Callithrix jacchus: one gene and its partners. The protein of the gene in region 1 interacts with the protein of each later gene in a biochemical or structural test. Links are inferred from orthologs where the notes say so. Each region holds a gene or a part of one and is shown in the gene's direction. Other genes may lie near its edges.

Region 1 (3,500 bases):
AACAGCTCTCTACGACCTCTGCCTCCCAGATTTAAGTAATTCTCCTGCCTCAGCCTCCCAAGTAGCTGGGATTACAGGCATGCACCACCACCCCCAGCTAGTTTTTGTATTTTTAGTAGAGATAGGGGTTCATCATGTTGATCAGGCTGGTCTCAAACTCCTGACCTCAAGTCATGTGTCCGCCTCAGCATCCCAAAGTGCTGGTATTACAGCCGTGAGCCTCTGAGCCCTGCCTGTTTGTTTGTTTGTTTGTTTGTTTGTTTGTTTGTTTGTTTGAAGAGAAAGAGATGGAGTCTTGCCATGTTGCTCAGGGTGCTCTCAAACTCTTGGCCTCAAGTAATCCTCTCACCTTGGCCTCCCAAAGTGCTGGGTGGTATGAAGTGTGGTGATACCAGGCCTAACTTTCTTGAGCTAATTATTTTAAATGAACCAGATTTACATTCCCTTTGAGTTTTTTCCCTTCCTTATTTTGATCGAATTTTTTTTTTAGTAATAGGTAGTTTAGAAATCAGAGCTTTGAAATCGTATTATTCTGGAAATGACCCAGCACATACTTGCTAATAGCAAAATGTTGATAGGTTTGATGTGTAGATAGTTGATAGGTCTGGATTGTCTCCAGGGAGTTACTTCTTTCATGTATTGATATGCTAGGCAAGAGAGGCTTGGCGTTTTTCTCCACATTGTATTGCCACCAGAGATAGATAATTCTGATTTTGTAGTGCTCATCTGATGGCACTGGAAGTAGCTTCAGGCCAGGTGCAGTGGCCCCCACCTGTAATCCCAGTGCTTTGGGAGCCCAGGGTCAGAGGATTGCTGGAGCCCAGGTTCAGGCCAGCCGGGGCAACACAGTAAAACTCTGTCTCTACAGAAAACTTAAAAATTAGCTGGGCATGGTGGTGTGCACCTGTACCTCCCAGCTTACTTGGGAGGCTGAGGTGGAAGGATCACTTGAGCCCAGGAGTTCAAAGCTTCAGTAAACTATGATCATGCCACTGTACTCCAACCTGGGCAACAGAGTGAGACCCCATGTCTTTAAGCTGGCCTGTCTTCCCGTTATTCAGGGCTGGAGTGCAATGGCGTGATCTCAGCTCACTATAACTTCTGCCTCTTGGGTTCAGGTGATTCTCCTGCCTCAGCCTCCCAAGTAGCTGGGATTAAAGTCACCCGCCACCATGCCCAGCTAATTTTTGTATTTTTAGTACAGACAAGATTTCACCACGTTGCCAGGCTGGTCTCAAACTCCTGACCTCAGTTGATTTGCCTGCCTTGACCTCCCAAAGTGCTGGGATTACAAGCATAAGCCATCGTGCCCGGCTGAGACCCCTTTTTTAAAAAAAAAAAGAAGAAAGAAAATAATTTGATAGTGGTTCACACCTATAATCCTAGCACTTTTGGGAGGCGGAGGCAGGCGGATTGCCTTGCTTAGGAGTTCAGGGCCACACTGGACAACACGACAAAACCCTGTCTCTACTAAAATACAAAAGAAATTAGCTGGGTGTGATGGTGCACACCTGTAGTCCCAGCTAGTTGGGAGGTTGAGGCAGGAGAATTGCTTAAACCCAGAAGGCTTAAGTTGCAGTGAGCTGAGATCGTGTCACTACACTCCAGCCTACGTGACAGAGCAAGACTTATCTCTAGGGGAAAAAAAGGAAGTAGTTTGATAGATGTGTTATCCTTTCAGAGTCCAAGCCATCTTCCCAACACCAGATCCCGCAGCTCTAAAGGATCGCCGCATGGAAAACCTGGTAGCCTATGCTAAGAAAGTGGAAGGGGACATGTACGAGTCTGCCAACAGCAGGGTAGGTAGCTGCTCACCGTGCTCTCGCCTCTACTGCATCTGTACTAGACAGCACTACATTTGTCTGGTTGTTATCTGGAAACAGTGGAATCTGTGTAGTTGGGAGAGACATGAGGCCACGGGCCAAGGAGACCTCCCAGATAAGACACAAATTTCCTGCACAACTCTCTTGGTTAGCTACATTGGTACATGGAGTATATAAATTTACATTATGTCCATGGGATATATTTTTCATATTAGGTGGTGATGTATTATTGCTAGCATCAGTGAATATTCAAGAAGTTGATTTGAGTGAAATGGAACATGTATTTAGTACCTACTATTTGACATGTCCTGTAAAATCATTGGGAATTGAGCAGGAGCGTGGGCTTCTGGTGCATCAGGTATTTGCATACTTTTGCCAGTGTACTCAGTGAAGAAGTTCATTAGTTAGAACCTACAACACAGATCATTCTGTTGCTTTTTACAGTTTTAACGGCTTCATATTGAATATGATTGCTTTTTAGGATGAATATTATCACTTACTAGCAGAGAAAATCTACAAGATACAAAAAGAACTAGAAGAAAAACGGAGGTCGCGTCTACATAAACAAGGCATCTTGGGGAACCAGCCAGCCCTACCAGCCCCAGGGGCTCAGCCCCCTGTGATTCCACAGGCACAACCTGTGAGACCCCCAAGTAAGCATTCCATTTCCTTCTGCCAATCCTTAGCCTGTTTCCTTGGTTTTCCTTCATGTTTGGGGTGTATTTCTAAGAATAGAGGATTAGTCTTTGACATGTGACCTATAGAAGCTGTTGATGTGGCAGTGGCCCTGACCACCTGCCTCAGGCCATGTTGGGACTCTGAGTTTGTCTCTTGGGAAGGCCCTTTAAAGGGTGCACCAGCATTGGAACACAAGTGTTTTTGGACTTGTTGGCTGTTTTTAAGTCTGAAGTCCTAATAAGAAATTTTCTGTTTATTCCCAGCTGGGCACAGTGGCCTATAATCCCAGCACTTTGGGAGGCCGAGGTGGGTGGTTCACGAGGTCAGGCGTTCAAGACGAGCCTGGCCAATACGATGAAACCCCATCTCTACTAAAAAATACAAAAATTCGCCGGGTGCGGTGGCTCATGCCGGTAATCCCAGCACTTTGGGAGGCCGAGGCGGGTGGATCACGAAGTCAAGAGATCGAGACCATCCTGGTCAACATGGTGAAACCCCGTCTCTACTAAAAATATAAAAAAATTAGCTGGGCATGGTGGCGTGTGCCTGTAATCCCAGCTACTCAGGAGGCTGAGGCAGGAGAATTGCCTGAACCCAGGAGGCGGAGGTTGTGGTGAGCCGAGATCGCACCGTTGCACTCCAGCCTGGATAACAAGAGTGAAAACTCTGTTTCAAAAAAAGAAAAAATACAAAAATTCTTGGGGCCTGGTGGTGCATGCCTATAGTCCCAGCTACTCAGGAGGCTGAGGCAGAAGAATCACTTGAACGTGGGAAGCAGAGGTTGCTGTGATCTGAGATCATAGCATTGCATTCCAGCCTAGGCAACAGAGCAAGACTCCATCTCAAAGAAAAATTTCCTATTCCTATTCCTGAATCAAGGATTATATTAAATAACTAGGGTGTTTTGTTTTTGTTTTTTTGCCACCATAGATGGACCCCTACCCCTTCCAGTGAATCGCATGCAAGTTTCTCAAGGTATTAACTATTTGCTGTGAATCA
Region 2 (3,500 bases), on another chromosome or scaffold:
GGGATTTCATTTCCTTTGGGAGGACGAGATGAGTAGATTACTTGAGGCCACGTAAGTTCAAGACCTGGCCAACATGGTGAAACACTCTCTCTATTAAAAATACAAAAATTAGCTGGATGTGGTGGCTCACACTTGTGGTCCCAGCTACTTGGGAGAAGTGTCTTTTTGTAAAGTCATTCACATTACCAGTGTTTGTTTTTTTACAGAAAAATTTTGAAAGACTTATCTTCTGAAGATACACGGGGCAGAAAAGGAGACGGAGAAAATCCTGGAGTTTCTGCTGTCACTTCTATGTCTGTTCCAGCTCCCATCTATCAGACTAGCAGCGGACAGTACAGTATGTACAGGAATCAATTTCCACATTATAAACGTACAAAACCTGACTTCTCTGTAGAAAGAAGTGGTGTTAGAAAAATTGCCATACTTCAATAGTGATGATTGATTAAAGGACATTTTCAGCCAGGAATAATGAGAAGTACTTTTTCAGCATTATTTCATTTATTCCTACAACAACTTTGTGACATAGGCAGTTACATAGGCAGTTATTAATGTATGAGGGAACTGAGACCCACAGCATTAGATACTGGATTTGTTTTTTTGTCTTTTTATTTTGGAGACAGAGTCTCGCTCTGTCACCCAGGCTGGAGTGCAGTGGCACTGTCTCTTGGCTCACTGCAACCTCCGCCTTTCAGAAGCGATTCTCCTGCTTCAGCCTCCCAAGTAGCTGTGATTACAGGTTCCTGCCATTGCACTTGGCTAATTTTTGTATTTTTAATAGAGATGGGGTTTTACCATGTTGGCCAGGCTGGTTTAGAACTTCTGACCTCAGGTGATCCTCTTGCTGCGGCCTCCCAAAGTGCTGGGATTACAGGCGCCACCATGCCCGGCCTGGATACTGTTCTTGAAGTCACATAGCTTGTATATGATGGAGCTGGGATTCAAAATTAGATTTGTCTGAGTCTACACATATAATTTGACCTCAAACTATACTGCATCTTACAAATTTTTCTTTTGGATGCCAGCCAGTTATGTCTATTACCTTAATTCCAGCAGAAATTACTGTATGAAAGATTAAATATAAATGTTGACTTTCCAGTGTGAGGTTAAGGAAATTTGGATCAGAAAGAGGATAGAGATTGTTTTGCAGTGTGATTTACAGAGTTCCCACCATAAACAATAAGGAACTGATCAACTTTAATAGAACACTAAATCTGCATCTCTAAAAGTGTTGCTATGAATATTAGTCAGTACACAGAACAAAGTGAGCACCTTTTGGTTTACAGCATCCCACCTGGGGGCTAGGTAAAGTTATAAAGGAAGCAAATGTGGTCCTAGCCTTTGAGAGGAAAGCTTAGAGTCAGGAGACAGAGTGATAGAACAGAAATACCTACACAAACAAATATATATATCCTCACTGATGATCAACAGCAGTCTATGGATTAGTAATTTGTACTTAGGTTAACACGTAGGTCGTTTCCCCAGTAATTTAGTGAATGAGGTCTACTGGTTTATTAAAATGACATTTGGCAAAATTAACGAGGTAATAAATTGTTTATTTTTAAGTTTAATTTCTAGTTTTGCTTCCAATCTTTTTTTAATGAAAAATTTCAATTACACAACAAAGTTGAACAAATTACACACACATACATATCTTTTTTCAAAAATTTTTTTGGCTTTTGTATCTTTAGCTCACTGATACAGAAATAGGATGAAAGTGGTATTTAATATAATATACATTTAGATCTGTTTTGTTCATTGTCTTGGGTTTTTTTTAAGATGGAGTCTCCTCACCAAGACTGGAATGCAGTGGCACAGTCTTGGCTCACTGCAACCTTTACCTCCCAGGTTTAAGTCATTGTCCTGCCTCAGCCTCCAGAGTAGCTGGGATTACAGGTGTGTGCCACAACACCCAGCTAATTTTTGTACTTTTAGTAGAGACAGTGTTTCACCATGTTGGCCAGGCTAGTCTCAAACTCCTGACCTAAAGTGATTCACCTGCCTTAGCCTCCCAAAGTGCTGGGATTACAGGTGTGAAGCACCACGCCTGGCCCCTGTCCATTCATTAAAAATCTTTATTGTTTGATTTATATACAGTAAAATTCACTCTTTGGGGAGTTTAAGTCTATGAGTTTTGACAAATGTATAGAATAGTTTCACACCATCAATCGAGATGTAATTCTATCACCCTAAGGAATTTACTAGTGCTGCCCATTTGTTATTACTCCCTCCACTCCTAACATTAATCTTCGTCTCATTCAGTCTTGCCACAATGTGTATGTCCCATCTGACCACCTCTGGCCATCTCTAACCACCACCACCTTGATTTAGACTCTGATCTGAATTACTGGAGTAGGCATCCAGTTGGTCATCTTGCTTCCATTCTTGCTCTAATCATCAGTTTTCCATACTGTGGCCAAAGTGATTTATTTAAAATGTCAACTAGATCACATCACTCCTGCTCAGAATCCTCTATTGACATCTTATCATACTTAGAATAAAATCTCAGTCTTACAAGGCATTGCATTTAGGATCTGCCTACCGCTCTGACCTCATCTCCTGCCACTTGATGGCATTCTGACCACCCAGCTTCCTATACTGTACCTCAGACACACGAAGCTTGTTTCTGCCTCAGAATCTCTGGAGTTGTCACTGCTCACGCCTGGCATGTTCTCCCAGATCCCTACATGGCTTGCATCCTATGCCCCTGCTCTGCTTAAGTGTCACCTCCACAAAGCGATCACTCTTTTTCAAACATGTGTCTCCTCCCTTTAGTTTTCATTAACAACCTGCATTTTTCTTTATAAATTTACATATAATTAAAAGACAGTATATATTAGTTTAATTACAGATTGTATGTATGTAATTATAGATTAGCTTATTTATTATCTGTTTTCCCCACTAGAATATAAGGTCCTTAAGGGAAAGAACCTTATTTGTTTCATTCACAACTACATCTTCGACATATAGGACCCGGCAAGTAGTAGGCTTTCAGTTACGTTTGTTATGAATAAATGAATTAAAGAATGAATATATATATTCTTGAGAAACTGGGAGCCAGGCATGCTGGCTCACGCCTATAATCTCAGTACGTTGAGAGGCTGAGGCTGGAAAATTACTTGAAGCCAGGTTCAGGACCAGCCTTGGTAACATAGCAAGACTGTGTCTCTACAAAACAGTAAATAAAATAAATGAAGAATTAGCTGGGCATTGTGGCATGTGACTAATCCCATACACTCAGGAGGCTGAGGTGGGATCTCTTGAGTCCAGGAATTCGAAGTTACTGTGAGCCGTGATTATACCACTGCACTCCAGCCTGGGCAACAGAGCAAGACCAGTCTCAGGAAAAGAAGAAAGAGAGAGGGAGGGAGGGAGGGAGGGAGGGAAGAAAGAAAGAGAGAAAGGAAAGGAAGGAAGGCAGGAAGCTAAGCACTGGTTGCAAGGAAAGAAACTTGGAAGCAGAGATCAGAGGTAGGGGGGACATTCACATGTTATCATTGAAA
Region 3 (3,500 bases), on another chromosome or scaffold:
ATTAAATTGGAAATGACAGTAAAACTTTTTTCTAAATGATGATCTTGAGCTGATTTTAAAGTTTCATAAGAGACTGCTAATAATTAAGTTCCATAGGATATTTCAGTTGTTTCATTTAGTGGATTCGATATTGTTAATGAATTTCTACAACAGTTAGGGAGTAGGATGCACTGATGAACTGCTTTATTAATTATATGTTAAAACAACCATTTATTGGGTTTCATGCCTGCCACTGTGCTAAGTGCATGAAAGTAGATAAGAAAAATCCTACTCTCGAGGAATTATTTACTAATGGGACAAGTATTAATACATTGTATAGTTAATGCTCAATGTATTAACACTTGTCAGAACCAAATAACTTCAGAAGGAATTTAACATTTTCCTACTTACCTGTTTTTAAAAATATTAACAGCTGTTATTATAAATTATAATGCAGTTCATAGAGTGCATTTCTATTACAGAAATTGAATATGAGTTTCCTGAGAAGCAGGTTACTTGAATATATCACACCTTTCTTGGTGATGTTATTTGCTATAATTTCTCCTAGATTATTTTACAAATTATTCTACATTGGATTTAGTATGTTAAAAGTTTTATATGGTATTTTTAAACTTGTAACTATAAAATCCATTGGATTTTAGTTGCCATTACCCAGGGAGGAGCAATACAGCTGGCTAACAATGGTACCGATGGGGTACAGGGCCTGCAAACGTTAACCATGACCAATGCAGCTGCCACTCAGCCGGGTACTACCATTCTACAGTATGCACAGACAACTGATGGACAGCAGATCTTAGTGCCCAGCAACCAAGTTGTTGTTCAAGGTAAGGGAATTCAGAATTCACAGGTGTGGTAAATTCTTCAAAATACAAAAATATTGTAAACTCACAGAAAAAGTAAGTATCATTTTGCAAAGCACTGTTCAAATGTAGTTAACATTTCTTCAATATAGATAGTATTTTTCCATGAACTCTTCCATTATTCCAATTGGACCAAAATGTCATGGCATAAAAACAACTATTTTCAGTTTTAAAAATATTACATCTGCATTTAACACCTTTATCATTTGGGGTAGAAGAAACAGGGTAGGTTAGAAGGAAAGACCAGGAAATCGGGAGTTAAGAAAGATGGATTCTATAACTAACTGCATGGATCTGCTATGACACCTTGAGTAAAACCCAGCTTCTCTGGGCCTCAGAAAAGTATTTTGTTTGTTTCATGTGTCAAATAAGAGTTGCACTAAATCTCTGAAAAGAATCTTCGGAAGTTCAGGATTCTGTTTCTCTGCCTTTTATCCAAAAGAAATTTAAATCTTATTTGCTAAAATCATCAGTTTTTATTATCATTATTATTATTATTTTCCTAGAGACAGGGTCTCGCCATGTTGCCTAGGTTAGTCTTTAAATCCTGGCCTCAAGCAGTCCTCCTTTCTTGGCCTCCCAAAGTGGTGAGATGCCTCTCCACTTGACCCAGTTTTTATTTCATATGAAAGCAGTATATTCAACAAGAACTTATACCAATATGCAAATTTGCTGCTCTTTAGAGAAAAAGTAGTCGTTAAATTTTTGACAAATTATAGAAGTTGCTTTTTTGGCTGTTTGTTTGTTTTTGCTTTTTTTTTTTTCCTGTGTATTTCAGGACTCTTTATGGATAGCAGTTAACCATTTTTCTTTGATTTGTTTGAATATTTGAAGAACATAGTTAATGCCAGCTTAGAAATTTGCTGACTGAGGAAATAATAATAAATTTGTTTCTGAAAATAAATTTGTTTCTGAAAATATTTTTATAAATAATAATGCATTTAGCCTGTGTTAGGTAATGATAGTTGTATTCTTTTACCATGGATAATTGAATAATCCTGAAACACCATCTGGAGAGAGTCATAACTTATTTAAAGAACCCTGATGTTTACAGAATATATTCTGTTATTAAACAAGTATTTGAAAAAGATAACATTTTGCTTATTGATGAGAGTAAAACACCTTTTCACTTTACATGCAGGTACTCAAAAATTGTAAAGCAGGATGTCAGTGAATTTGAATTCTGAACGTCAGTTTGAAGATGGTAACATGTTTAGTATATAAATCTTTTCCACTCAGACCATACATTTTAATTGATATTAATAATTAATATGATTAATTTTATGAAGACCTTCAAATTCTTTTAAGTAACAGGTTGCTTATTCTTAGGAGAACATATTATTATGCTGTCTTTAGAAGCAGTTTGACAAATAGTGATTCTGTTTGTTTTTACAAATGGTGCATCAGTTAGAAAAATAAAACTTCAGTTTATTTAGCCATTATCATTTACATTAAAACAATATGTTTTCAAATAATATAATTGGTATCAAGTGATACACTTTCTCATACTTTCAGTTTTGTTTTAATTAGAAATTTATAATAGTTGACCATAATGCTTTATTTTCTTTTTCATTTTGCTATTTTATGAAAAATCATGGTGGTTTTTATGTCGTGGCAAGAGTCTACTTGAAATTTTTTAATATGAATTTACCAATATCAGAGGAAGACATTGAGGACTATACTCTATCTAGGAAGATCATCCAAGCTGTGTCCCACTTACCTTTTAGACTTAAGGTTGGTAAGCATGTTAATGACAGAATAGAACTGCATTCAAATGAAAAATACAGTATAAGATCCAGCAGATATAGGTTACTGTAATAAATACATTACATTGGGAATTATTTCTTAGTAAGGGTGCAAAGAGTGCTGATTCTTTCAATACTTTAGCCAGAATCATCTTTTCTTTTTTGTTTCCCTTTTAGTCCAAAATACATGCTTAGATTGATGATTGATATATATAATTGAATCAAGTTGCAATGTTTCTGTCTTACACCATGCTCACTATTTTTTTCAGCTGCCTCTGGAGACGTACAAACATACCAGATTCGCACAGCACCCACTAGCACTATTGCTCCTGGAGTTGTTATGGCATCCTCCCCAGCACTTCCTACACAGCCTGCTGAAGAAGCAGCACGAAAGAGAGAGGTCCGTCTAATGAAGAACAGGTACATAGACTGCATTGACTTAGACTGTTGTGGGTCAAGTATGTCTTCACATTCTGCTGGATGTGTCTTTACATCTACTGGTAATAGGATCTTTGCATTTTTTTTTCCTGGCAGAAGTAATGGATCTTGCTAAATTTTCTCTATTTAATAAGCTGCACTTATATGGCTATAGGATTATGGGTCAATCTTTGATTATGGAATAGTTTTCTTTCATGCAGTTTCCCCACAGCAGATGTAATGCACAACTTTCCTATGTTTGCACTCCAGCCAGCTAGCCGGGTTACTTTAAAATGGTTTTATTTCATATGTAGTATTGTTCAAGAAGATCAAGAGTTTCATATATATGTATTAACTGTGTGTTAAGTTTTATCTGTATTAAATTTACTTGATATAAAGTAAATGTATGGTGGCCAGATCATGTTTTAATGAATATTATCTTTGCTCAAAATAATAACATTTTAATATCTAAAAATTC
Region 4 (3,500 bases), on another chromosome or scaffold:
AAGGAACTGCCTCTATTTCATTTGGAGATAGGTACACAAAGCACTCAGCACGTGCCTGGCATTATCAATGTATCATTATCAATGGCATTTCGAAGTGCCAGGTATTTCATATTTTACTTGTATTAACACATTTCATCCACATTACCATATGAGATAGATGTTATTATTCCCATTTTACAGAGCAGGACAGAGGCCCAAAAAGTTTTAAGCAATTCATCCAACTTGTGTAGTAGCTGACCCAGGTAGAGTTAAGGCTGAGAGGCAGAGGTAAGGTCCGAGGGAGGCCAGTTTCAGCTCAGCGGGAGGATTTTCTCACTGTTACAGGAGCTGCTTTCACCAGTAGTGAGGTGTGTCCCTGGAGGTGTGTGTGTAAGCTGGGCTAGTTACTGAGCATGTCCTGCGTTGGGCAGTGCGATTCCTGGGGTACCTTCAAGCCCTGTTACAACACTCAAGAACCAAAGCAGTCCCTGGGCGCCAGTAACTCAGAGTTGGAAGGAGGTGATGCCAGGTGTGGTGGCTCATGCGGGTAATCCCAGCACTTTGGGAGGCCGAGACTGGAGAATTGCTCAAGCTCAGGAGTGCAAGACCAGCCTGTGCAACATAGTGAGACCCTGTCTCTACAGTTTTTTTCTCTTTAAAGAAGGAGGTGATGTGATAGAGAGTTTGGAGGACTTCTTGTCCCCAGTGAGCTCGGAGCTTTGAGTCAGGGAGCCTGAACCTGTGAGTGGGTAAGCCACAGGTATTGGGCCAACCACAGGTCTGGGGTACCTGGCCTTGGGGCTGCTGCCTAGTCATTTCTGACCCAATTTTCCCAACTTTGCAGCCCGAGGAGGCAGAGAGAGTGAAGGCCCAGGCCCAGGCCCTGGGGCTGGCTGAAGCCCAGCCTGTGGCTGTGGTACAGTCAGTCCCCGGGGCACACCCCGTGCCAGTGTACGCCTTCTCCATCAAAGGCCCTTCCTACAGAGAGGTAAGGTTCTCCCCAGCCCTGGCCTCCCCTCCTGAAGGCCTGGATTCCACCAGGAAAGTGAAGTGGTGCCGAGGGGCGGGAAGCCAGGCCTTCATCAGATCAGCTGTTTGTGGGGAAGTGTTTGCTCAGCGCCTTCTCTATGCTGTCCCCTGTTCTCGGCTGCCTGATCTGGGAGCTCCCCATAAGCATGAACCACTCCCAGCACAGCAGGGGTGCTGAGACACTCAGGGCTGTCAAAGGCCAGCAGAGACTGGTAGACAGCAGATGGTGCCAGCTTGGGAAGGCTTCCTGTCTGAAGAGAGACATCTGCATGGCTGAGAGCAGAGGAGAGGGGACAACAGGAGCAAAAGGGTAGCCACAAGGCCCTGGCACCCAGGGCAGGCTGTGCCCACTCACCCCTTGAGGCAGCTGACCTGGCTTTGTGACTCCCTCTGTGCAGGAGGTCTCCAATACAACCACAGGCCAGAAGAGGAAGAGCATTCAGACCCAGTGCCCCAGGAAGGTCATCAAGATGGAATCTGAGGAGGGGAAGGAGGCGAGGTTGGCTCGGAGCTCCCCCGAGCAGCCTAGGCCTAGCACCTCTAAGGCAGTCTCACCACCCCACCTGGATGGGCTGCCCAGCGCCGAGAGCCCCGACATAGGAAGTGAGGTCATCCTGCCCAACAGCAACCATGTGGCCAGTGGCGCCGGGGAGGCAGGTAGGGAGGTGGGTAGGGGAGTGACCTGACCTGTGTGCTGTCTGCCAGGGTCTGGGTGGGCCCCCTCTTCTGTATTTTGGCCCCATCCAGAAAGCCCAAAGCCAACAGGAGTCCCTTATTCCCACTGAATAAGGCAGGGAAAGTTCACAGTGTGCATGGGGGTGAGGGTGGATACAGGTTACCACGTGCTTTGCTGTGATTAAGGTGTGGGGAGCCTGTCAGGCTAAAATGCACAGTTCTGTGAGTCCTTTCCCCAAAACACTAATCTTACAGTGCCCAGCACCATGCCTCTGCACAGGACAGGTCTCCACAAGAAATGTTTGCTGGCAGATGCCTCGTGCGCTCCCAGAGGGCTTGGGCACACCATCACAGGAAACTGGACTCCCCGTGACCTTAACTGTGCCCTCCCAGTCCACACCCATCATTTCCCCAGGTGTTGCTGCAAAGGCCACCTACCAAGTGTCTCATTTGTCTGAGTTATCCTCTGTGGACACCGCCAGGCAGGGAGTCAGCTGGACAGGAGTTGAGGTCCAACTCAGAGAAATCTGGAGCAAGAGTTCTTCCTGGATCTCTTCACCCAGACTACAGCTTTGTTCTTCATTCTAGGTCCCAGACTCAGCCCCAGCCCTGGTCACACACTGAGCATTGACTGATATTCCTTACCCACCAATGCTATTGGTCATCAATGGGTTTTGATTAACTAAATGAGGCATCTTTTAACTCTAGACATCCCAGCTGATGGAGCTGAGAATTGGGCCAAACCGCTGTGCTGCTTTAGGATTGCAGAAGGTTCCAAACCAGGTGGTGCAGGCCTCCTGTGCTGGGAGCAAATTCTGATTGCTGGGCAAATAACTTAATTGAATATTCATAGATAAGGTACAGCAAGAAATGATGGAAACCCATTTGTGAATTACATCCAAATGCAAAGCAGATTCAGACTGGCACACACAGTGGGTGTTCCCGTCGCCCTGCAGGGTATCCGTTGCCCTCAGTGCACTGGCCTGCAAGGATTCCCATAGGTGCATACCCACACCCCTCCCATTATGCGTCCTAGGCAGTAAGTAATTCAGCTCCCCTTCCCCATTTCAGAGGAGCGCATTGTGGTGATCAGCAGCTCGGAAGACTCAGATGCCGAAAACTCGGTGAGTGGCCCAGAAGTTCAGCCCAGGACTCCTGCCTACCCCCATTTCAGGTCCCAAGGGGCATAGCCACAGCAGGTGACTCTCAGATCTGCCTACGCCTGGGCAATTTTCCAGTGAGGCAGTGAGTCCCAAGCTGTGCTGATAACAGTCTCCAAATGCCAGCCGCATGCCTGGACCACCCCAGCCCTCCCACCACACCGGGGCAGGGGCCTTCAGTAGCCATATGTACTCCTCTGAAACGCTGATAGTGTGCATCCAGAACCCCGTCTCTTTTCCGGAATGTCCAGGGCCTTTTTCTGGAGCTCCCTTATGCATTTTCTGTCCTCTGAGTCCTCAGTGAGGAGGGCTGGACAAGAATGCATTTCCTAGTTAATTGCAGCCAGTGGGGGCCAGTGAAGGGGTGTGAGGCCACGGGGGAGCTGTATAGAGGCCAAGAAAATGAGGTTTGACTCTATCCATGTAAGAAAGAACTGTAAATCCATTCCACACTGAAACAAGTGGCCTCGTGGGTAGTGACCCTTCTGTCCCTGGAGGATTATTACTAGGAGCTGGGCTATCACCCGTCCAGGGGAAAAGGGGATCTGAATAGAGTGAAAGGATGGACTGGGTGGCCCCTGAGGTCTCTTCCAGCCCTCAGTCTGAGGTTCTGTATTGGAAAGTGCATGGAGCCCACGGAGACCGCTGAGCCACAGT
Region 5 (4,013 bases), on another chromosome or scaffold:
ATAAAAATGCTTACAGAACCCCTGCAATGCGTTAGTATACGTGATTATTCCTTGTGTAAGTGAATCTTGTTGAGATTTTATGTTCAGTCACTTGAAATTAAATACTTTACATACTAACTAAAATGTGTCCTGCTCTCTGTATTCTGGAGAAGCTTCTCTCAGGCAAATTAACATATTCAAATTATTTTATGGGCTAACTGACAAGTATAGAGAAGATTGAAGACAGTTAAGATCATTTATTTCAAAATGTTTTAAAGCATTGATTATTTCTTTTGGTTTTCCTTCCTTCCCATGACAGTTTTGAGGTGTAGCTTACTTGGCAGACGTCACTCTGTACTGGGTACTGGGACAGAGAGCAATACAATAGCAAGAGAGAGATTCCTCCTCTGCCCCCTCTATCATTCTCACTTCCAGAAAACCAGCCTTTTTCAAGACTTGTAAAGAAGAAAAAGCGAAAATATTTTTAAAAAATCATTGAAAGTACATACTGCATAAACCACAGCAGACATGATGAGATATTAAAATTTCAATGTTATTAAAAAATTTTAATATGATTTTACAGCCCTTTTTCTACTTTAAAATGTGTATCTTAGTGTTAAACAAACAATCAATAACCACATAAATTTAAAAATTGCTGCAGGAAATACCGGACAGTTTATGGAAGGATCATGCGACAGAAATTAAGGACCAAAGAGCGTAAGGAGCTAGACCTGTGCAGGTTACCGAAGTCAAGAACCTAATTAATCAGTAACAGGAAGTGCAGAGCCGGCTTTTGAGTCCATGCCTGAGTAAGAAATTCCCAAATAACACTAACAGAAGACATTTCCTTACCCCTGCTTTTAGTTTAGCTCTAGCTAACTTTGGATTAACAAAATTTATGTGCTGAATGAATGTTTTATTTTTTTTTCCAGCCCCACACGCCTGTCTAGACTTTGAGCTTTATTAGGAATAAAGAGAAAAATCGGCTGGAGGGCGTAAAAAAATTTCAGGCAGATTAACACATGATTTACCTCTTTTTGAACATCCATTTTAGTGGAAGTGCTAAGAAAGTTAGATTCAAGCCGGGCTTGGAGAAAGCAAGGCCACCCCCTCCTCTATGTTTTCAATGAGATTTTCCAATCCTAGTCAAATGGTGGTGCTAGTTCTTTATTTTTGAGTTACTGCATTTCCTAATTTCATGGTCATAACAGCCTCCTGTCTACCGAGTCAGAACGGATTTTACCAAAACTGAAAATGCAGGCTCCATGCTCAGAAGCTCTTTAACAGGCTCGAAAGGTCCATGCTCCTTTCTCCTGCCCATTCTATAGCATAAGAAGACAGTCTCTGAGTGATAATCTTCTCTTCAAGTAGGTACTCCTATTTCTTCTCAATTTATTTTTTCCTTTTTGATATAATGTGCTACTGTTTACAAGCATATTGTAACTTCAGAGCTTACGTCTCATCTTTAAAAAATGTTCATTTTTTTCCTCTTTCTGCTCCAAGGATATTTTGCAAACTTACTGGCAAGTATTCCTAGGATGATAAAATGTGAAATCTAAACTTGGTACAGTGGAAATTCACTTCTAGAATAATATTTAGCTGAGGCAGAGGGCAATCCGACTACCCTGTTCTTAGTACAGCACACACAGGCTGCCTGTCTGCTCCAGATAACATATATCTATCGGATCCAGCACTAGCTAGGAGACACCGTGTTGTTGAGCTGTGTTAGAATTTTAAAAGTTCTTAATTAGAGAAATCTCAGACTAGCAGGAACACATTACCTGTTTTCTTAATCTTTGGAGCCATAACTTATATGAGTTTGAACTAAAAGATGTGAATGATCCATTATTTGTTTCCTAAAGGCAGTCAAGTTTTCTGAAAAGCTACACGTCCAGCAGCACAAGAATGAACGATTCTGTCTTGAAATTGGCCTCTGATTTTAAGCAAGTTCTTTTGAGTCCTGGTGTCCCATTTTCTCGGTTCCTTTTTGCCTCTCAAAGGCACACGCATAATGACTTCACCACATATAGCAGTGGGCTACTCGGGTAATGATGTGGCAGTCACAAGACAGGGCAGAATACTTTCATTTTGGTCAGAGGCATGCCACATGTCTTAGGAAATGCTCGTTGAACTGTAAGTTTCATGCTTTGTCAAGAAGATAACCAGTATTCTCTCAAGTCCATAGGAGCCGACGTGATTAAAACATTTTAAAGCAATTTACTTGATAGAAGGGTTGGGCTTTATCAGGACTTGTGATCATGGCAATGGTTCCTGCTTAAAGGTGCCAGATTTTTAACGCCTTTATGTGTCAGATCTAATAGGCTTACAGAGCAACTCTATGTATATGAGGCTGCTGGGAAACTCATCCAGTTTTGAATGTGGTATATACATATTTTAATGTTGAGAGTAAACTTAGGAAGACCAGGCAGAAGTGTTTGAACTGAATTCTGAAATGTACAGAGAATTTAAATTGGGTGAGAATGTTTGAGGTCCACGGTTCAGGGTTCATTTCGATACCATAAAATCCCCTCCTAGTTCTTAAAAGCAAATGTTTTCTTTGATTTTGTTAATGTCCTGTGAAGACCGCCGACTGGGCTGTGAAATGCATGCAGATAATGCCGTAGCGGTTGGATAAAATAATCTAGAATGTTAGATTTTCAAGGAAATTAGAAATAAAAACAATGTAGGTAAAAGGCATGATGTAGGAAAACAGCAGAATTTTCATTAAGAACACAAGGGTCGTATTTACAAGCAGAAGATTTTTCTTGGACACTTGGAGATATTTGTTTTGTTTTATTGCTCATGACAGTCAAGGAAAGGAATACAATGTTTGGGTCTTAAACTTGCAGCAAGAAAAGTCAAACTATCTTTTGTTTCTGAGAACTCTTGTCTTTGTTCAGTATTGGGTTTAGAGCTAGCTACCACCCACCTTCCCTTCAAACACTCACTCTAAACCTCCACACAGCATAACGATGTACATCAGGTGTCTGCCAAACAAGTTCACATGGTTGTCTGCAGGTCTTCTCTTAGTCTAGCTGCACTCATTTATCCTAGTTGGTCAGAACAGTTGCTTGAGTTGAGGGCCTGGTGGTTGAGTTTACTTTGCTTTGAATAGGGAACAGCTCTGCTTCATGACTCCAGATTGGCTATTTGGAAAAAAGGGCAAGGAAAAGAGTGACCCAGCTCTCAGTAGACCATCCACACTGCTGGTAAAAAATAAAATAAACAAAATAAAATAAACAAAATAAACTCATAGCATAGGATTCATCTATGGCAGTGGCGACATGGTCCTGTCCATCTGCCTCTATCAGGATAGAGTCTCCATTGTTGATCTCTGAGAAAGAGGTGCTATCTGTGAAGCCTCCTGCATATTATCAAATAAAGTGCTCTTTTCAAAGGCAGGCACTGTACAGGTAAGACTGATGATGTGTGCCTGCCTTCTGGGCAACATCTCATTAGACTTCCTCTGAATCATTCCCACTGGACACAACAGCAAAAACATGCACATCAGTGAGTTTTATGGTTCTATCTAAGGCATATAACATTTTTCTCACTGAAAGTCTGTGATTGTTTCAGAGAATGAAGGGGCTTACCCTACTCACCTGCCCCTTAAAATATTCTGCTAGAAAGCTGATACCTCTGCTCAGGTTTTCCACAGCACATCACTCTTCGGTGAGAATTCTATTAAGTGGTTCAATTCAAATCCATGGAAAAATGACTGAGTACCCAGTCATAGCTCCCACCACTCTCTAGCTGTGCAATTAGAGGCAGATTATGTCACCTCCATCATTAAATTTCTCATCTGCAAAGTTGGAGTACTAACAGTAGCTACCAGAGAGAATTATATGGAGTAAATGAGATTAAACCACTCATTAAACTCCTTGCAGTCTCTAAACATTAGAAACTCAATATGAGGAAGTTATTTCTACTCTAAGCCTATCACAGTGCCTGTTATTCAATACATGTTGGTTGAATAAATGAAATAATTCAAGATCAGCACCAAAGCTGCTAGGAGTTTATGAACATCTGATCAT
Region 6 (3,930 bases), on another chromosome or scaffold:
GAAAGGTAGAAACGTAAATGTTTGGGGCTTGAAGTCAGAGGGTTTGGTTTTGAATCAAGGCTCCACTGATGGTGCCTGGTAATCACTGACTAGTAACTTCTTTCTTGAACTAAGATCAGTTTTTAAATTTCTAAATGAGAGAGAATAATTTTAACTTCAATGAGTTGCAGTGTAAATTTAAAATGATACGATGAATCAAAAGTGCTGGGCCGGGCGCGGTGGCTCAGCCTATAATCCCAGCACTTTGGGAGGCCGAGGCGGGTGGATCACGAGGTCAAGAGATCGAGACCATCCTGGTCAACAAGGTGAAACCCCGTCTCTACTAAAAATACAAAAATTAGCTGGGCATGGAGGTGCTCACCTGTAGTCCCAGCTACTCGGGAGACTGAGGCAGGAGAATTGCTTGAACCCAGGAGGTGGAGGTTGCGGTGAGCCGAGATCCTGCCATTGCACTCCAGCCTGGGTAACAAGAGCGAAAGTCCGTCTCAAAAAAAAAAAAAAAGGGGGGGCTTATCACAGTACTCTCAATAAATAGCTATTAGCCAGGTGCAGTGGCTCACGTCTGTAATTCCAGCACTGAGAGACCGAGGCGGGAGGATCATTTGAGCCCAGCAGTTCAGAACCAGCCTGGGCAACATGGCGAAACCACATCTCTACAATAAATATAAAAAATTTTCCTGGCGGAGTGATGCACGCTTGTAGTCCCAGCTACCTGGGATGCTGAGCCGGGAGAATCACCTGAGCCCGGAAGGTCGAGGCTGCAGTGAGCCAAGATCTTGCCACTGCACTCCAGCCCTGGTGACAGAGCGAGACCATATCTCAAAAAATAAAAGACTATTTTTAAAATATTGTTTTCATTACCTCAGCCCTCCTCTTCCTATCCCAAGACGTCGAAATTCCGGTCCCACCCCTTCCCATGGGGCCCTTGGCGTCTCCAGAGTCCTCAAGCTAGTTTCGGTTCCTTGGCCCACGCGCGGGTTCTCGAAAATCAGCTGTTTCAGTCTTGGGCTAGTCCACTAATTGGACTCCTCCCCTCGTAGGCAGCGCCTATTTGAGCTTCTCCACCAATCGCTGGAACTGGAGGTGTGGTTTCGGCTCAGCTTGTCCCGCCCCACGGATGGGGCGGAATTGCGGCGGCGCCAATGAGCTAGCAGTCTGGTAAGGACTTGACTGATGGCAGTGTCGGGGTGGTGGCTGGGAAAGGGGCAGCTCCGGACTTCAGGGCCACCTTACAAGGGGACGGATCCGAGGGGGTTGGCCGAACTTGTAGGCGGGGCGGGAGGCTCTAGTACCCGAGATCCCTCTAGGCACGGGAAGTCGCGACCAGAGCCACTGGAGGGCGCGGGGACTGCCACCCCTAATCAGGTACGGGCCCTGAGAGTGTGTGCTGGGGTAGGGGTGGGGGTGAGAGTGAGAATTCCTCCCAGGGAAGGGCGACTGGCCTCAGGGGTTACGTACGCCCTGGAGGGGGCAGCCTCTGTCCCCAGGTTGAAATAGGAGCTGTCGCCGGCTCGGTCTTTGAACTTCTCCTGCCGAGCTTATCTCCCCAACCCTAATGGCCCTCTCCCCAAAGTCCCCTGAAGCTTCCGAGACCCGGAATCTGGCCTTATGTTGATTCGGTAGCTGAACCAAAGTTTTTGCCTCTGCTCCGCATTATGTTTTGTCTTCACCAAAATAAACGATGTCCAAAGATAGATTAACCTGAAACACAAAAACAAAACAAAAAAACAGATAGATGAATCTATCATCTTTATTTGTTTCGTAAAAAAGTATAAGCTCCTGAAAGATAAAACGATTACCTAAGGTCACACACAAAATTCAGTTCATTTCAGAAAAGCTTCTTGAGTGTAAAATATGTGCCTGAGAGTGAGAGATAACGAGAAAAAACTGTCTCAGCCCTTAACCTCAGTGTTTGCAATCCATTTGGGGAGACTAGGTTTTTTGTTTTGTTTTGTTTTAATATTTGAATCTTTGCTTCCTTGTGCGTTTCATACTAAACACTTAAATCCTCAAGAATTGAGACCTCATCATTAAAAAAAAAATTTTTTTTAAGAGATGGAAGCTCACTATGTTGCCTAGGCTGATTTCAAACTCCTAAGCTCAAGCTATCCTCCTGTCTTGTAGGCCTCCCAGAGTGCTGGGATTACAGGCATGAGCCACCACGCATGGCCACCTAATCATTTTTTTAACTTATATTTTTTTGTATCATAACAGCAATACAGTTACATAGTTTTAAAAATCAAGCACTACTAAAAGGTTTAAAATGAAAATAGCCCCTGCACAATCCCTCCTTTCCCTTGTTTCTACTTCCAGAGGTAGAAAGGCAGCTGATGTTATTTATGTTAGAGTACTGTCCTACCCCAAGCATTTCTCTTTACTTTGTAATAAAATCACGTGACCTTTTTAGACCACAAACATGCATAAATTCTGTTCTGTTAGGCTCAGATTGCAACAAGTATAAGTTTCAGTTTCCTAAATAGACACCAGATGTCAACGAACAGGGAAAGATGGGGAGAAAGATGCATGGCACAGCCTGCTTGGTGACAGGCAAACCTGTCTTTGTGACAAGCAAGAAAAAAAAAAACATTTTTTTTTTTTTTTCTGAGACAAAGTCTTGCTCTGTTGCCCAGGCTGGAGTACCGTGCATGAACTCCACTAACTGCAACCTCTGTCTCCTGGGTTCAAGCAATTCTCCTGCCTCAGCCTCTTGAGTAGCTGGGATTAGGCGCCGACCACCAGGCCTTGCTAATTTTTTTGTATTTTTAGTAGAGATGGGGTTTCACCATGTTGGCATGTTGGCCAGACTGGTCTTGAACTTCCGACCTCAAGTGATCCTCCCACCTAGGCCTCTCAAAGTGCTGGGATTACAGGCGTGAGCCACGGCACCTGGCCTAAAAAAACAAATTTACATAAAGTATCAGGATCTCACAAAGTTGATAACCCATAATCATATTCAAGATTCATAGGTCATAAAAGTGTCATATTCTTTTTTTTTTTTGAGATGGAGTTTTGCTTTTGTTACCCAGGCTGGAGTGCAATGGTGCAATCTTGGCTCACCGCAACGTCCACCTCCTGGGTTCAAGCAATTCTCCTGCCTCAGCCTCCCAAGTAGCTGGGACTACAGGCGAACGCCACCACACCCAGCTAATTTTTGCATTTTTAGTAGAGACGGGGTTTCACCTTGTTGACCAGGATGGTCTCGATCCCTTGACCTCATGATCCACCCGCCTCAGCCTCCCAAAGTGCTGGGATGATAGACATGAGCCACCACGCCCAGCCTAAAAGTGTCATATTCTTAGGGATTGAGCAATCCATTGCACAGCATTTAGATGTTTTCTAGAATGGAACTCCTCCTTCCTGTATAGAAGGTGGTTTATAGGGTATACTTACCTGACCTCCAAAAAGATTTAGCTCCTAAAAAAGCTTCAAGTGGCTGCGTGTGGTAGCTCATACCTGTAATCCCAGCACGTTGGGAGGCCGAGGTAGGCAGATCACCTGAGGTCAGAAGTTCAAGACCAGCCTGGACAACATGGTGAAACCCCATCTCTACCAAAAATACAAAAGTTAGGGGGGCATGGTGGCAGCCGCCTGTAAGCCCAGCTACTTACTGTAAGCCACCTATAAGCCCAGCAGAAGAATTGCTTGAACCCAGGAGGCGGAGTTTGCAGCGAGCCGAGATCATGACACTGCACTCCAGCCTGGGTGACAAAGCAAGACTCCGTCTCAGAAAAAAAACAAAAAAGCTTCAGGGCCAGCAGAGATCATGCTGTAAAAAATACTTAATATCAACACTGATCTTTAAATGCTTTAGCATAAGCAAATATAAACAACAAATAAACACATAAATGTAAAATAAATTAATTAGGCAGATAGATGAAATAAGATAGTGGAAATAGCAATGTTAAAGTTGAATGGTGATCCTTGTGGTAT
Region 7 (3,500 bases), on another chromosome or scaffold:
CTGATCGGGCAATGATGAATGCATTCAAAGAAATCACTACCATGGCAGACAGAATCAATTTACCTCGAAATATAGTTGTAAGTTCTTGTCTACCTCCTCTAAGCCATTCTGGCATTGACTTGGCATAATTTAACGAACACATGAAATTTTGATATTGCAACTAATTAAATAGCATAGAGTTAAACTTAGTTTCTCTGCTTTGAAGGATCGAACGAATAATTTATTCAAGCAAGTGTATGAACAGAAGAGCCTGAAGGGAAGAGCTAACGATGCTATAGCTTCCGCTTGTCTCTATATTGCCTGTAGACAAGAAGGGGTTCCTAGGACATTTAAAGGTAAGTTTTTAGCTTTTTTTCTTTTTTTTGAGATGGAATCTTGCTCTGTCACCCAGGCTGGAGTGTAGTGGTGCAATCTTGGCTCACTGCAACCTCCGCCTCCCAGGTTTAAGCAATTCTCCTGCTTCAGCCTCCTGGGTAGCTGGGATAACAGGCACGTGCCATCACGCCCAGCTAATTTTTGTAGAGACAGGGTTTTGCCATGTTGGCCATACTGGTCTCGAACTCCTGACACCAGGTGATCTTCCCGCCTTAGCCTCCCAAAGTGCTGGAATTAACAGGTGTGGTAGTGTCTGTCTTTACTCTCAGCTACTTGGGAGGCTGAGGCAGAAGATTTGCTTGAACCCGGGAGGCGGAGGTTGCAGTGAGCTGAGATCATGCCACAGCACTGCAGCCTGGATGACAGAGCAACAATCTGTCTCAGGAAAAGAAAAAAAAAAGAAAAAGAAAATGTCAGTGAAGTTTTTTCTCTTGAGATATATTGTTTGCACTTTTACACTTCAGTTGGAGGCTTAGAAAAAACTGGTATTTTTCATCTAGTTTGCAGTTACATGTGAATACGTGACCAGTAGTTCACAATGTTGCACACTGACTTTCACTACCAAAGCTCAAGTTTAGCTGAAGACTATACTACCCTTCATTCATCCAGTCAGTATTTTTTACGTTTTCTTATGTAAAAGTGAAGAGGTGATGGCCTTGATCATTTTTTTTGTTGTTGTTATAAGTACAACAGGGCTTTTGTTAAATTTCTTCAGAAAGTGTATGGTGGTTGCATCTGGGAATAACACGGTCAGGTATTTTTTCTCATCGAGACATAGCTCATAATCGCAGGGATTTCATGTACACATGACATTGTGTTGCCTAAGAGACACTCTTTAGCTTCTTTCATCTTGATAACACACTGCTTACAACAGATTAATATGTAAATATCAAAGAATTTTTCTTTAAAGAAATTTACTTGCATGAATTAATCTTTAGAGAAGTTAGTATTTTGAAAGATTAAGACCTAAATTTAAAGAGTGAAGAACATTAGGCTGGGCGCAGTGGCTCACACCTGTAATCCCTGCACTGTGGGAGGCCGAGGCAGGTGGATCACCTGAGGTTCAGGAGTTCAAGGCAAGCCTGGCCAAAATGGTGAAACCTCATCTCTACTAAAAATACAAAAATCAGCCAGGCGAGGTAGTGCATGCCTGTAGTCCCAGCTACTCAGGAGGCTGAGGCAGAAGAATCACTTGCGCCCGGGAGGTGGAGGTTGCAGTGAGCCGGGATCATGCCACTGCCCTCCAGCCTGGGCGACAGACTGTCTCAAAAACAAAGTGTGGTGAACATTAAAGTTAACTGAGAAATTTGCAGTTACCTCTGTGGGAAGTATCACTGAGAGGATTAGGGTTTCATCTTTAAGGCATGGTTGAATGTTTTGCAATTAGAATGGATATTATGTTTATAATAAGAAATGGTAGATTTTAAAATGAACTATATGGCTTAAATAATTGACATATTTAAACTTTTTTTCTTTTAGAAATATGTGCTGTATCACGAATTTCTAAGAAAGAAATTGGTCGGTGTTTTAAACTTATTTTGAAAGCACTAGAAACCAGTGTGGATTTGATTACAACTGGGGACTTTATGTCCAGGTTCTGTTCCAATCTTTGTCTTCCTAAACAAGTGCAGATGGCAGCTACACATATAGCCCGTAAAGCTGTGGAATTGGACTTGGTTCCCGGGAGGAGCCCCATCTCTGTGGCAGCAGCAGCTATTTACATGGCCTCACAGGCATCAGCTGAAAAGAGGACCCAGAAAGGTAGGGTTTGTCACCAGGAAGTTGGCAGTAAACTGGGAATCTTGCAGCATGTGATTGTTTTTCCATTTTAAGTGTGAAGCAGGTAAATATCAGTGACCCACGTATGGCCGGGTGTGGCAGCTCATACCTGTATTCCCAGCACTTTGGGAGGCCACGGTGGGTGGATCACCTGAGGTCAGGAGTTCGAGACCAGCCTGACCAACATGGTGAAACCCCATCTCTACTAAACTTACAAAATGAGCCTGTAGGCCCAGCTACTTGGGAAGCTGAGGCAGGAGAATTGCTTGAACTTGGGAGGCAGAGGTTTCAGTGAGCCGAGATGGTGCCATTGCACTCCAGCCTGAGTGACAGCAAGACTCTGTATCAAAAAACCAAACAAACAAAAAAGACCCACATATAAGATATCATTCCTCAGCCTCAAAACATTAAGAAAATATGTTTTGGGCCGGGCGCGGTGGCTCACGCCTATAATCCCAGCACTTTGGGAGGCCGAGGCAGGTGGATCACAAGGTCAAGAGATCGAGACCATCCTGGTCAACATGGTGAAACCCCATCTCTACTAAAAATACAAAAAATTAGCTGGACATGGTGGCGCGCACCTGTAGAACCAGCTATTCAGGAGGCTGAGGCAGGAGAATTGCTTGAACCCAGGAGGTGGAGGTTGCAGTGAGCCGAGATCACGCCTTTGCACTCCAGCCTGGAAAACAAGCAAAATTCTGTCTCAAAAAAAAAAAAATATGTTTTGCTTTTAAGTAGCTCATAAATAAAATGTTCAGAGAGAGAAACCTATAAAAAAAAAAAAAACTTGGGTGTGGTGGCTCACACCTGTAATTCCAGCACTTTGGGAGGTGGAGGCGGGTGGATCACGAGGTCAAGAGATCGAGACCATCCTGGTCAACATGGTGAAACCCTGTCTCTACTAAAAATACAAAAAATTAGCTGGGCATGGTGGCGCATGCCTGTAATCCCAGCTACTCGGGAGGCTGAGGCAGGAGAATTGCCTGAACCCAGGAGCCAAGATCGCGCCATTGCACTCCAGCCTGGGTAACAAGAGCAAAACTCCATCTCAAAAAAAAAAACTTTAGTTTGTGTATCTTTTATTTTTACAAGTTCTTTTTTTGTCCCCTAAATGTCTTCCTCCTGATCATTTTGAATACTCATTTCCTCCCCAAACTTACCTTTTTAAATCTTAGGGGTCAGGGAGGCATGCGTTGTTTCTCACTGCTTGGCATGGGATCCTACAGATAGACACACTGTAAAATATGTGTTGGCTATCAACCTTTAACATTCTGTGAATGGTGTTTTTTTTTTCATCTTGTACAGTATTTTACAGTTTCCTAATACAAATTCTGAAATAAGTAGAT

What was found.
Region 2: the proteins of CREBBP (region 1) and ATF1 form a complex in vitro, tested with the Homo sapiens proteins (2 studies listed by BioGRID). The link is inferred for Callithrix jacchus from reciprocal best matches to the Homo sapiens genes CREBBP and ATF1.
Region 3: the proteins of CREBBP (region 1) and CREB1 form a complex in vitro, tested with the Homo sapiens proteins (15 studies listed by BioGRID, with this or other methods). The link is inferred for Callithrix jacchus from reciprocal best matches to the Homo sapiens genes CREBBP and CREB1.
Region 4: the proteins of CREBBP (region 1) and PML form a complex in vitro, tested with the Homo sapiens proteins (2 studies listed by BioGRID). The link is inferred for Callithrix jacchus from reciprocal best matches to the Homo sapiens genes CREBBP and PML.
Region 5: the proteins of CREBBP (region 1) and ESR1 form a complex in vitro, tested with the Homo sapiens proteins (2 studies listed by BioGRID). The link is inferred for Callithrix jacchus from reciprocal best matches to the Homo sapiens genes CREBBP and ESR1.
Region 6: the proteins of CREBBP (region 1) and STAT2 form a complex in vitro, tested with the Homo sapiens proteins (2 studies listed by BioGRID). The link is inferred for Callithrix jacchus from reciprocal best matches to the Homo sapiens genes CREBBP and STAT2.
Region 7: the proteins of CREBBP (region 1) and GTF2B form a complex in vitro, tested with the Homo sapiens proteins (2 studies listed by BioGRID). The link is inferred for Callithrix jacchus from reciprocal best matches to the Homo sapiens genes CREBBP and GTF2B.

What each region holds. Positions count from the first base shown.
Region 1 is NC_133513.1:5,892,137-5,895,636, reverse strand, and holds part of CREBBP (CREB-binding protein), read left to right. Parts: intron 1-1,681; coding exon 1,682-1,799; intron 1,800-2,304; coding exon 2,305-2,476; intron 2,477-3,431; coding exon 3,432-3,476; intron 3,477-3,500. UniProt on the Homo sapiens protein: Acetylates histones, giving a specific tag for transcriptional activation. Mediates acetylation of histone H3 at 'Lys-18' and 'Lys-27' (H3K18ac and H3K27ac, respectively).
Region 2 is NC_133510.1:68,761,333-68,764,832, reverse strand, and holds part of ATF1 (cyclic AMP-dependent transcription factor ATF-1), read left to right. Parts: intron 1-206; coding exon 207-337; intron 338-3,500.
Region 3 is NC_133507.1:129,038,895-129,042,394, forward strand, and holds part of CREB1 (cyclic AMP-responsive element-binding protein 1), read left to right. Parts: intron 1-641; coding exon 642-824; intron 825-2,001; exon of another isoform or gene 2,002-2,024; coding exon of another isoform or gene 2,025-2,064; exon of another isoform or gene 2,065-2,594; intron 2,595-2,874; coding exon 2,875-3,025; intron 3,026-3,500.
Region 4 is NC_133509.1:20,936,633-20,940,132, forward strand, and holds part of PML (protein PML), read left to right. Parts: intron 1-823; coding exon 824-967; intron 968-1,406; coding exon 1,407-1,665; coding exon of another isoform or gene 1,666-1,673; intron 1,674-2,754; coding exon 2,755-2,807; intron 2,808-3,426; coding exon of another isoform or gene 3,427-3,500.
Region 5 is NC_133505.1:158,537,463-158,541,475, forward strand, and holds the start of ESR1 (estrogen receptor), read left to right. Parts: upstream 1-1,213; 5' UTR 1,214-1,346; intron 1,347-4,013.
Region 6 is NC_133510.1:63,281,051-63,284,980, forward strand, and holds the start of STAT2 (signal transducer and activator of transcription 2), read left to right. Parts: upstream 1-1,130; 5' UTR 1,131-1,158; exon of another isoform or gene 1,159-1,365; intron 1,366-3,930. UniProt on the Homo sapiens protein: Signal transducer and activator of transcription that mediates signaling by type I interferons (IFN-alpha and IFN-beta).
Region 7 is NC_133508.1:126,085,752-126,089,251, reverse strand, and holds part of GTF2B (transcription initiation factor IIB), read left to right. Parts: coding exon 1-77; intron 78-205; coding exon 206-335; intron 336-1,854; coding exon 1,855-2,136; intron 2,137-3,500. UniProt on the Homo sapiens protein: General transcription factor that plays a role in transcription initiation by RNA polymerase II (Pol II). Involved in the pre-initiation complex (PIC) formation and Pol II recruitment at promoter DNA.